Linked DNA regions of Saccharomyces cerevisiae S288C. The protein of the gene in region 2 binds, or shares a complex with, the protein of the main gene of each other region. Each region holds a gene or a part of one and is shown on either strand. Other genes may lie near its edges.

Region 1 (3,287 bases), on a different chromosome or scaffold from region 2:
CTTGGCGCAATACGACCGTAGGTACCAACAGGTACGGTGAACGATATGTCGGTGGAAACCATACCTTGACCCATAGCCGGAATGGTAATATCCTGAGATGCATAAATGTCGTATCCCGCGGCAGTGGCAGAACCTTTGGTAGGTACAGTAGCGCTTGCTGAGCGCAATTGAATCTTTAGTACTTTGTCGCTAGTAGCAGTCATTTGGTTATTTTTTGGCTCGCTGTATCAGTGCAAACATCTCATTCGAGAACTTAGTTGTTTCTACTTATTAAATGGTAGCGCGTAATATTTTTCCTTTTATAATTTTCAATGGTAGTAAATCAGAAATTATGGAAAAAAAATAAAACTTGGACAGAAAAAAATATTGCTATGAAGAAAAATTGAATATGCTTATCAGCTCATTTGATTGAGTATGTTGAGATATTTACAGGTATTATTATTGCTGTATTTACTTATGTAAAACGAGAGATAATGGTGCGTGTGTATGTACATAGTATTTCAGCTTGAATAGTAAACTTTCCTGACATCAACAAGCTTTTTGCCTCTACCCAGGGCAACCTCATCCAATGTCTTTTGAGCTTTCGTGAAAGCCTCGATGGTACCTTTAGCTATATTCATATCGTTTCTGGATTTATATACTTTCCCACTCAGATCTTTGATACCTGCACATTCACAAATCTCAAAGATTACATGGTTTACACGTAATCCAAACCCTGGTTTTGCACTTCTTAAATGTAGTTTCACACCATGATACCTAAAATCTATATCACCATAAATAGTTCTGTTTTCATACCTAGGTATTTCCTTCAGGTTCCTTACCGCATCCCAATGAGCTTTAAAGATCGCTTTGGACATTTCTTCACGAGATTTACCTTCTCCCAAACCTACCATACCGTTTTTGTCACCAACGACAACCAAGGCATAGAAAGACGCAATTTTACCCTTCCCAGTCTGATTTGACACTCTTTTCATCACCAGCGGCTTCATAGTCAACTTTCTAGTGATATAATCCGGATCTACACCGGTTTGCTTGTGTAGCCCTGCAGCTACATCGGCGCTTTTCGATTTCCGACCACCATCGTTTGGTAAGCTGACTCCTGGAGGCAGAATGTTACCTTCGCCTGGTAATGGTTGTTGTACCTGGTCCCATCTAAAGATGCTGAAGTTATTATTCTCCTCTTGAGCGTGGAGATGGGGCATGCCTGGTTTGTAATCCCAAAAAGGATGTATTTTGGTAAAATCATCCAAATATGGTGGTGCGAATTCCACGTTACGAGATACTCTGAATTTAGTATCTTCTGGTATCGTTTGTTGAGCAAGTTTTATGGATTTTAAAAGACTTTCAGGATAGTACCTTGATAATAGCGACTCATCATAATGCTGTAGATAACGAACACTAGTCGATAATTGCCTCTTGAACATCTTTACCTATTGATCTATGAAATCTGTTTCTTGTATGGTTTACCGTCTACTTTGACAACAATAACGATAGGTCTTTTAGTGGTGCTTGTATTATTGTCTTGTCAATTCGTCTTTTTTTTTTTTTCACTTTAAGGAACTTTACTCCGCGAATAAAAGAAAGCATCACCATGTAATGAAATATATGGGATACATAAATGTATGGGATACATACGACTGTTACTTGCTACCTCATTTGGAGATCACTAGCTCAGTTGTAAAACTTTTCCATTTGATTGAATAAACTCTAACCTTTTTCATACTGGTAGTAAAAGTCAAACCTACGAAAGTTCACATAATAAGGCCTTCACGCCAAGAGAGTCTAGTGTAGTGTTCTTCAGCTCCTATTGATATACTTTTAGTGCCCAAACACGGGATGTTTCAAGTAATTTTTCCTTCTCTAATTTGACAAGGGAAAATATGGCTAGTAATTCTTGTAAAAATGTCTTCTCCTCAGAGTGGGCGGTGCTTATGTATTAGAACCGGTCGAAATATCATAATATACACCGGCCAGTAGAGAACGGACATGGCGACTTGATACATAAAATGTCTATCTCGGAAGCTGATCAACTTGTGAAGTAGTATTATAGATATCAGCGTGCAAGATACTTACAAAAAGAGAGACCTGTAAATTTATTGTTACGTAAATACATAGTAGAATAAGAAACTAATAAAAAATAGTATATGTATATCATGCAAATAAAAAAAAAAAGGATAAAATAGAGGCGTTGTTCTGAGGTACCGAACATTCATAAGCTATTCTCACCTGCTACCATAGAATATAGTGGGGGTTCATCTTGTAGATCACTAATATTTTCAAATTTTTCATATTTGGGTAACAAAGAGCTGGTCGAAATATCACTATCGCCAACTAAAATTGGAAAATTCACCGTAATACGATAATTTTTTTTCATTTCAAGCCCTTCCACCAATTCATTCCTGCTATAGGTTATTCTGAACAAAAGCAAATGAGTTACTTTGAGGGCAGCATGATTGGGATAAAATGAACTTGGTTCACAGTAGAATGTTTTAAACCAGCTCGGTAGACCATCCGCATAGGTTGGGATGACAACGTCATCAAAGCAAAATCCGAAAATGGTCTTGTCGGAATCGAAACTTTGGCTTTCTACAGTTCTTAGTAAATACTCGGACTTTTTAATGTATGGCTCTCGTAGTATTTTCTTGGTCTTCAAATCAATACTTGGTATTGCCATTCTCTGTGCAACTGCCAAAGAAGCTTCCTGTAATTCAATGGAAGAATCTGTTTTGGTAATTGATAATATCATTTGGAAAGGCATACCAATTTCAATCAACTTGGAGTTTCCAATGACCGATACTACGATCTCACTTGCAGTATTGTATGACCTTAATTGAAATGTTTCAAACTTAAGCATACTCGTTGAAGGCAGGACTCTTTTAACTTTAATTTCTTCTGTTAAAATGATCTTATCTGTAAAACTTTCATTCTTCAAAAATTTGAGTAAGTTTTTAGGTTTACTTGGTATTCTCATTATTGTTGTTAAGCTTTCTATTCGAAAATGGGTCTTGCCAAAGAAGGAAGAGAAACTTGCTGGGAAAGTATTTGCTTGAAGGGTAAAAGTGAATGGGTAATCGTACGTGCCCTTTGTCAATAGAATTTTCTTATCATTTAATGAGTGGTGTATGACTCTCAACTGCTGTTTGGGGTAGGTGGAAGACTCAAAAAACTCTGTGTGATTAAGTTCTTTGATAATTTTGTCACTATAGGAGTTTTTGCTAGTTTCTGAATTTACAAAGCATGCATATTCCTTTGTGAAACATTTTAAAGAAATTGAATGGGAAGTGATT
Region 2 (2,627 bases):
GCAAAAGTTTTCGGCCTTTTAGGTGCTGCATATAGCCATAACCTGTGTGATAACGTTTCTCCTCTCTCATCGTTTTTGATTGCCTTTAAAAATAGCAAAATTTTATTAGTGTACTTGGTGCAACTTTTAGAAGTTCTTGGGACGGTGATGACACCACCTTGGTTAGAAAATATGACTATGACGGCCGTGGGATCATTATCAATGATATTACACAGGTAATCCAGGGTGGATTTCTTGGAGTTAAAATTAATAAACTGCCAATCACTTGCGCTTCTACTAAAACTTATATTGGGGGACTTTGGTTTGATAATTGTATGGTCCAGATCAAAGGCATAAACGTTTAGACCATGCTCGTCGTGATCAATGGATTGTGGAAACTTGGGCGTGAACTTAATCAGAAATGGCAGGATTGTTAATTTGTGGGACATGGGCTTTCCTTCGGTTCAGTTTTCTATGTTATCCATCTGATTTTGGGATGATTTTACAGATTAAAATCGATTTAAAGCCATACGCAAAAGAGGGGAAACGAAAGAAACGCACAGAATTCATTCACATAGATGAAGGGAACAGAAAATGAGAATGTTATATGACAGATAAGCAGCATATTCAGGACATATATCCAGATATATATACATATAAGCTATTAACAAGGAGAAGAAACCAAAAAAAAAAAAAAAAGAAAACATCCTCAGATGATATCAGCTTTACCTACAGTTTCGTAATATTTACAGACGTCAGAGCCACTCAATTTCCTCGGAACAAAGATTTTAGACACTATAGAAACCTCATTTTCAAATCTTGTTGCATCAGCAATCGAATGAGGAAAGTTCACAACTACTAGCTTGTCACCGGTCTTGAAGTTCTCTTTGAAATATCTACCCAAAAGCATGACCAACATACCGGTCGGCAAATTGTAAGCGTACGTGTCACACCCGTATTTTTTGTAGTATTCATTTAATAAAGCCTCATATCTATCATCCCTCAAGGTTCTGTAGTAATCGATGACCTTGACTGGATCGACAAACTGCAGCTCATTTATATCATCGCCTTGTGATTTCTGCAGTACCTTTCTAGTTTCTTCAATGCTGGGTGATAAGGAAAACTTTATATCGACCTCACCTTGTGGGAAGATAGCCACACGTCTTTTCAACCCTTTAACCACATTTTCGAATTCTTCTTCTGATAATGTTGTCTTCGGTTTGTTCTTATCTAAAGACTGTACTGTCTTGACAAATATCACTGTACCGATAATAGCAACAAGGAAAATTTTCTTAAATCCTGGAGCATCTATTTTATCTGATTTGTTAGACCTTTTAGTTGAGCTATCAGTTGATGAGTATCGTGCTCTCAAGAGCAATGGTGAAAATAAGGGTAATTGCTTTTGAGGCAACCCACCGCACACCTTGAAACAATGTCGGCAGCTTGCTAGAACGCTTTTTCTCAGTGGTCGCAACATGTAGGTAGTCTATTTATCTGGGCTCGTTATGTATTAATCTTCCTATGGGGATTCATTCATTTTAGCTTTACCGGCAGTCCTTACAAACCGCTTTTTGAAATTAAATCGACAAACTGAGGAAGAAGAACGGAAAAACAGAAGAAAGCCAAAGGCAAAGAAGCGACCACATACACCTTTTTTTCGATCTAAACTAATCGCCCAAAATGTCGTTGGTCAAACTTGCGAATACGTGTGCTCATTTACAGAACTGCTCGAAAGTTAGAGTTGCCTTAACATCGATCCCATATACGAAATTGCAGCTACAGTTTGCGTATAACCTTTACCAACAAGGGTTCTTATCGTCTTTACAGAAGGGATCGACTATGGGACCAGACAAAGATTTTGTTGAAGTAACACCAGACAATATCTCTACTAGAAGGCTTTGGGTTGGATTGAAGTATAGAGATAACAAACCTGTCCTCAGCAGCTGCAAATTAATTTCCAAACCAAATTCAAGAATACACCTGCCAATGGAAGACATGAAGAAACTATGCTCTGGCGTAACTATTAGAAACATCAAACCACTACAACCAGGAGAACTGATTCTAGTTCGAGCTCATAACAACATTATGGACATTAATGAAGCCATATCCAAAAAGTTGGATGGAGAAGTACTATGCAGAGTAAAATGAATAGAACAATCACATATGACCGTATTTATACGTGTAATTAAAAAATATACGGACCATGTAAATAATAATATTATAAAATGCAGACAATGATGATGAGTATAGTACTACAGTAACGTCCTTCATTCATTACCTTTACTAGCAGTGATAAAAAGTTTTGAAAAAAAATGTGCTCCAGGGGAGGTTCGAACTCTCGACCTTCAGATTATGAGACTGACGCTCTTCCTACTGAGCTACTGAAGCTGTCTGTTATGGAGGATTCTAGCATTAAATGCTTTAATACTCAATAAAAGCAACAATGGAGAATAATTTATCAGCAACTAAATTTATAGACGAAGATCCTACGCCAAATCTTAGCTCCTTTATATTTAATATTGAAAAACATATGAATTTTAGGTTGAATCCTCAAAATGGAATTGATATTTCTACATAATAGTACTACGATTATTCTTCACTCTGTTTTATATGTGTCATTATGTTATTACATTATCAATCCTTGCATT
Region 3 (3,183 bases), on a different chromosome or scaffold from region 2:
CTGTGAGTTGATCCGCCATTCTTTTCGTTTCAACAAAAATCAATGTCAATCCCTTATGCTCTGCAGACAGTAAATCTAACAACGCAGACTTTTTGTCCATGTCATCGACATATAATATTCTTTGCGTGATATTTTCTGAGGTGGAACCGACTCTTCCTACTGATAAAAAAATATAATTATCTAAGAAATCGCGTGCCAAATGCTGGATATCTACTGGGAATGTGGCGGAAAACATCAAGGTCTGTCTATTTTCCACAGAGGGCATATCACATTCTTCAACTATATGGCGAATTTGGGGTTCGAATCCCATATCTAGCATTCTATCAGCCTCATCCAATACCAGGTATTTGATATTAGCCAAAGAAACTTTTCCGCGTTCTAATAAGTCATTCAGCCGCCCTGGTGTAGCCACCAATAAGTCACAGCCGCGGTCAACCTCCCTCATCTGGTTACCGATTGGCGCGCCACCATAAACAACGCATGGCCTAACCCAAGATCTATACGTAAATTTTCTTGCTTCTTCAAAAATTTGGGTAGCCAATTCTCTAGTTGGTGCAAGTACTAAAGCAGATGGATATCCCTTTCTAGAATAAAAGCTCTGTGCTTTCTCGGGTACTGGAGAGGGCCCAGACCTGAATAGCTCCGTGAAGAGCGGAAACAAAAACCCACCTGTCTTACCTGAGCCCGTTTGTGCGCATGCCATCAAATCCCTACCTTTGGTAACTATTGGAATAGAATATTTTTGTACTGGAGTAGGTTTGGTGAAACTAGCAAGTTTGATATTTTCCATTAACAGCTCATCCAGAGGGGGAGAACTAAAATCTAGTATAGGTTCAGGAACATCTTTTCCAGATGCATCTACGGGAATATTATCGTAATTATCAAACTTTATACCAGATGAATGGTAATCGGGATCGTCGTGTACACCAAACAGTTCGGCTTCTAATTTCGCGTTCTTAGGCCCCGGTATATGCTTGCCATTTACCCATCTATTTCCAGATGATTTGTAATTTGAGCTGCCTCCGCGGTTATAGTTCGCACTCGTCCCTCCATTTCTTTCCTTAGAAAAGCCAAAAAACCCGCCATTGTTCCCAGTTTGCCTTCCAGCACGTCTGAAAAAATCACCACCCGTAACCTTATCTTCCTGTTTTGGGGTACTTCTTTCGAATGATGGTTTTCCTCTACTTCTCAAGTGCGGTGGGACATAAGATGATTTGCCGCCACCACCACCATTCTCTTTGTTGTTGATGCTTAAATTAGATACCTTCTGTGGCAAGTCTGCCATTTTTTCTTGTAATACTTTCACTCAAAGGGGTTTTTCTTAAAATATCCTTTAACTGACACTACCGATATCTTTTATAATCATGAATAATCCTTGTTATAAAATAAAGGCATTACTTCAGAGATGACCTTAAGTAACCTTCCCTTAAAATTGTTAAAGAACTCGCGGGGTAATATTTACGTTGACAGTGATATTTGTTTTGAGAAATCAAAGAATGAAGAACTTAGATGTAGAGTTAAAGGAGCAATACGAATAGGTGCCGTGATGAAGAAAAAAAATCATACAGACATTTGCTACAACCCTTGGTGAGACTGTTTCGATCATTTTTCTTTTTCTTTTTCTTTATTTTAGAAAAAATTGAACGAAATGACATTGGCAGAGTTGCTTGGACGGTCGAGAATAGCTCAAGTAGCTAACAATCATAAACCATTGACATACACTGGCAAAAAATTTCATCCAACACATCAAATCATCGAAACTAAGCCATCGACACTATACAGACAAGAATGGGGGTTGAAATCCGCTATTCCTTCGAAAATTAAATCTCGATATTTGGTGTACAACGATTTGGATACGTTGGAAAGAATTACCACATTCGAACCTAGAGGCGGTACGCAATGGAATAGGCTAAGATTTCAAGAAATGGGAGTACCAATTGTGTCTAATATAGGCAGACAAAATCCATTTTTCAAGTACATATCTCGTCCTGAGGATGAGTCTCATGCTAAATTGTCCTTATTCAAAGAAATGAAAGGAGATACAGATATTTCGCCTGCTGCTATGAAGAAGCGTTTGAAGAAGATAACAGCACTAATTAGATCGTTTCAAGATGAATTTAAAGAGTGGCTGGTGGAAAATCATCCGGATGAATTGAAATTGAATTCTAATAAGCTGGAAGACTATGTAGTGAAGTTTCTAAACAAAAAGTTGGAAACAAAAACGAATAAAAAATTTAACACTGAAATCATTGGTACAGGTGGATTATCATACAGCTTGCCAGGAAAGCTAAAAAACTCACCAAATGGTGTCATTCAAAGGACTGTAGTACCCGGTAGAATCTTGAACGTTGTTAAGGAGAACAACGACAATAAATGGCTGGCAGCTATTGGTGGGTTTGTGGCCGATGTGGTATTTTTCCAATCACCACCTAGTTCCTTTAACTCCATGGGAGATTTCATCAGAATGAAAACGTTCTTGTTCGAGATCTTGGAGGCATCTATGGAGAAAAATGGTTCTGTTTCGATGCACGCTAGATTACTCGAACCACAAAATGACAAGACCAGAGAATTTTTCAATAAGAGACCAATTTATAAACCATTGACCTCTAGAAGGGCACGTCGACCATCAGTGGGAAACATTCAAGAGGCCAATAACCTTTTGAATATAATCAAGGGAAATTGAGAAGAGAAAAAAAAAATGTGAACAATCAATGTATATTCAGAGTTCTGTAAATAAATAAAGAAAATAAAGTTTACATATTACTAAGGATTTTTGTCGCCTATTTTTACTATTTTTCAGGTGAAATGAAACGTTTTATATCACATTTTGCTATGATAACAAAGTTATTATGATTTTTATGTAGCCTATATTATTGACGCGTTGTTATAGCATTCTATGAATTTGCCTGTCATTTTCCACTTCAGAAAGGTCATCTAATTGCTCCCACCAGTTGAATAAGTAATTCTCGCAAATAATCTTAAACCAAGGCGTAAACTTGTAACTTGGGTCAGCAAACATAGTTTTCAAATCATTTGGTGAAACCCATTTGAAGTCTCTAACTTCATTGACGTTTGGGTTGACAGTCAAGTTTTCTTTAGCGTTGATCTTATAAAATAGGATGTAATCAATTTCATGTTCACCCCATGGTTCATTGCTTGGTGCCATGTAATGGATTCTGTTTA

What was found.
Region 1: MRPS8 (region 2) and MRPS5 share a complex: the UniProt entries of both Saccharomyces cerevisiae proteins name them as parts of the mitochondrial small ribosomal subunit.
Region 3: MRPS8 (region 2) and MRP51 share a complex: the UniProt entries of both Saccharomyces cerevisiae proteins name them as parts of the mitochondrial small ribosomal subunit.

What each region holds. Positions count from the first base shown.
Region 1 is NC_001134.8:719,527-722,813, reverse strand, and holds MRPS5 (mitochondrial 37S ribosomal protein uS5m MRPS5), read right to left. Parts: upstream 1,425-3,287; coding exon 501-1,424; downstream 1-500. Other genes in the region: DUT1 (bifunctional dITP/dUTP diphosphatase), read right to left, coding at 1-203; SPO23 (Spo23p), read right to left, coding at 2,210-3,287. UniProt on the Saccharomyces cerevisiae protein: Component of the mitochondrial ribosome (mitoribosome), a dedicated translation machinery responsible for the synthesis of mitochondrial genome-encoded proteins, including at least some of the essential transmembrane subunits of the mitochondrial respiratory chain.
Region 2 is NC_001145.3:570,589-573,215, forward strand, and holds MRPS8 (mitochondrial 37S ribosomal protein uS8m MRPS8), read left to right. Parts: upstream 1-1,659; coding exon 1,660-2,127; downstream 2,128-2,627. Other genes in the region: TPP1 (polynucleotide 3'-phosphatase), read right to left, coding at 1-428; AIM36 (Aim36p), read right to left, coding at 689-1,456; YMR158C-A (uncharacterized protein), read right to left, coding at 2,606-2,627. UniProt on the Saccharomyces cerevisiae protein: Component of the mitochondrial ribosome (mitoribosome), a dedicated translation machinery responsible for the synthesis of mitochondrial genome-encoded proteins, including at least some of the essential transmembrane subunits of the mitochondrial respiratory chain.
Region 3 is NC_001148.4:324,980-328,162, forward strand, and holds MRP51 (mitochondrial 37S ribosomal protein bS1m MRP51), read left to right. Parts: upstream 1-1,648; coding exon 1,649-2,683; downstream 2,684-3,183. Other genes in the region: putative DEAD-box ATP-dependent RNA helicase DBP1, read right to left, coding at 1-1,285; isopentenyl-diphosphate delta-isomerase IDI1, read right to left, coding at 2,885-3,183. UniProt on the Saccharomyces cerevisiae protein: Component of the mitochondrial ribosome (mitoribosome), a dedicated translation machinery responsible for the synthesis of mitochondrial genome-encoded proteins, including at least some of the essential transmembrane subunits of the mitochondrial respiratory chain.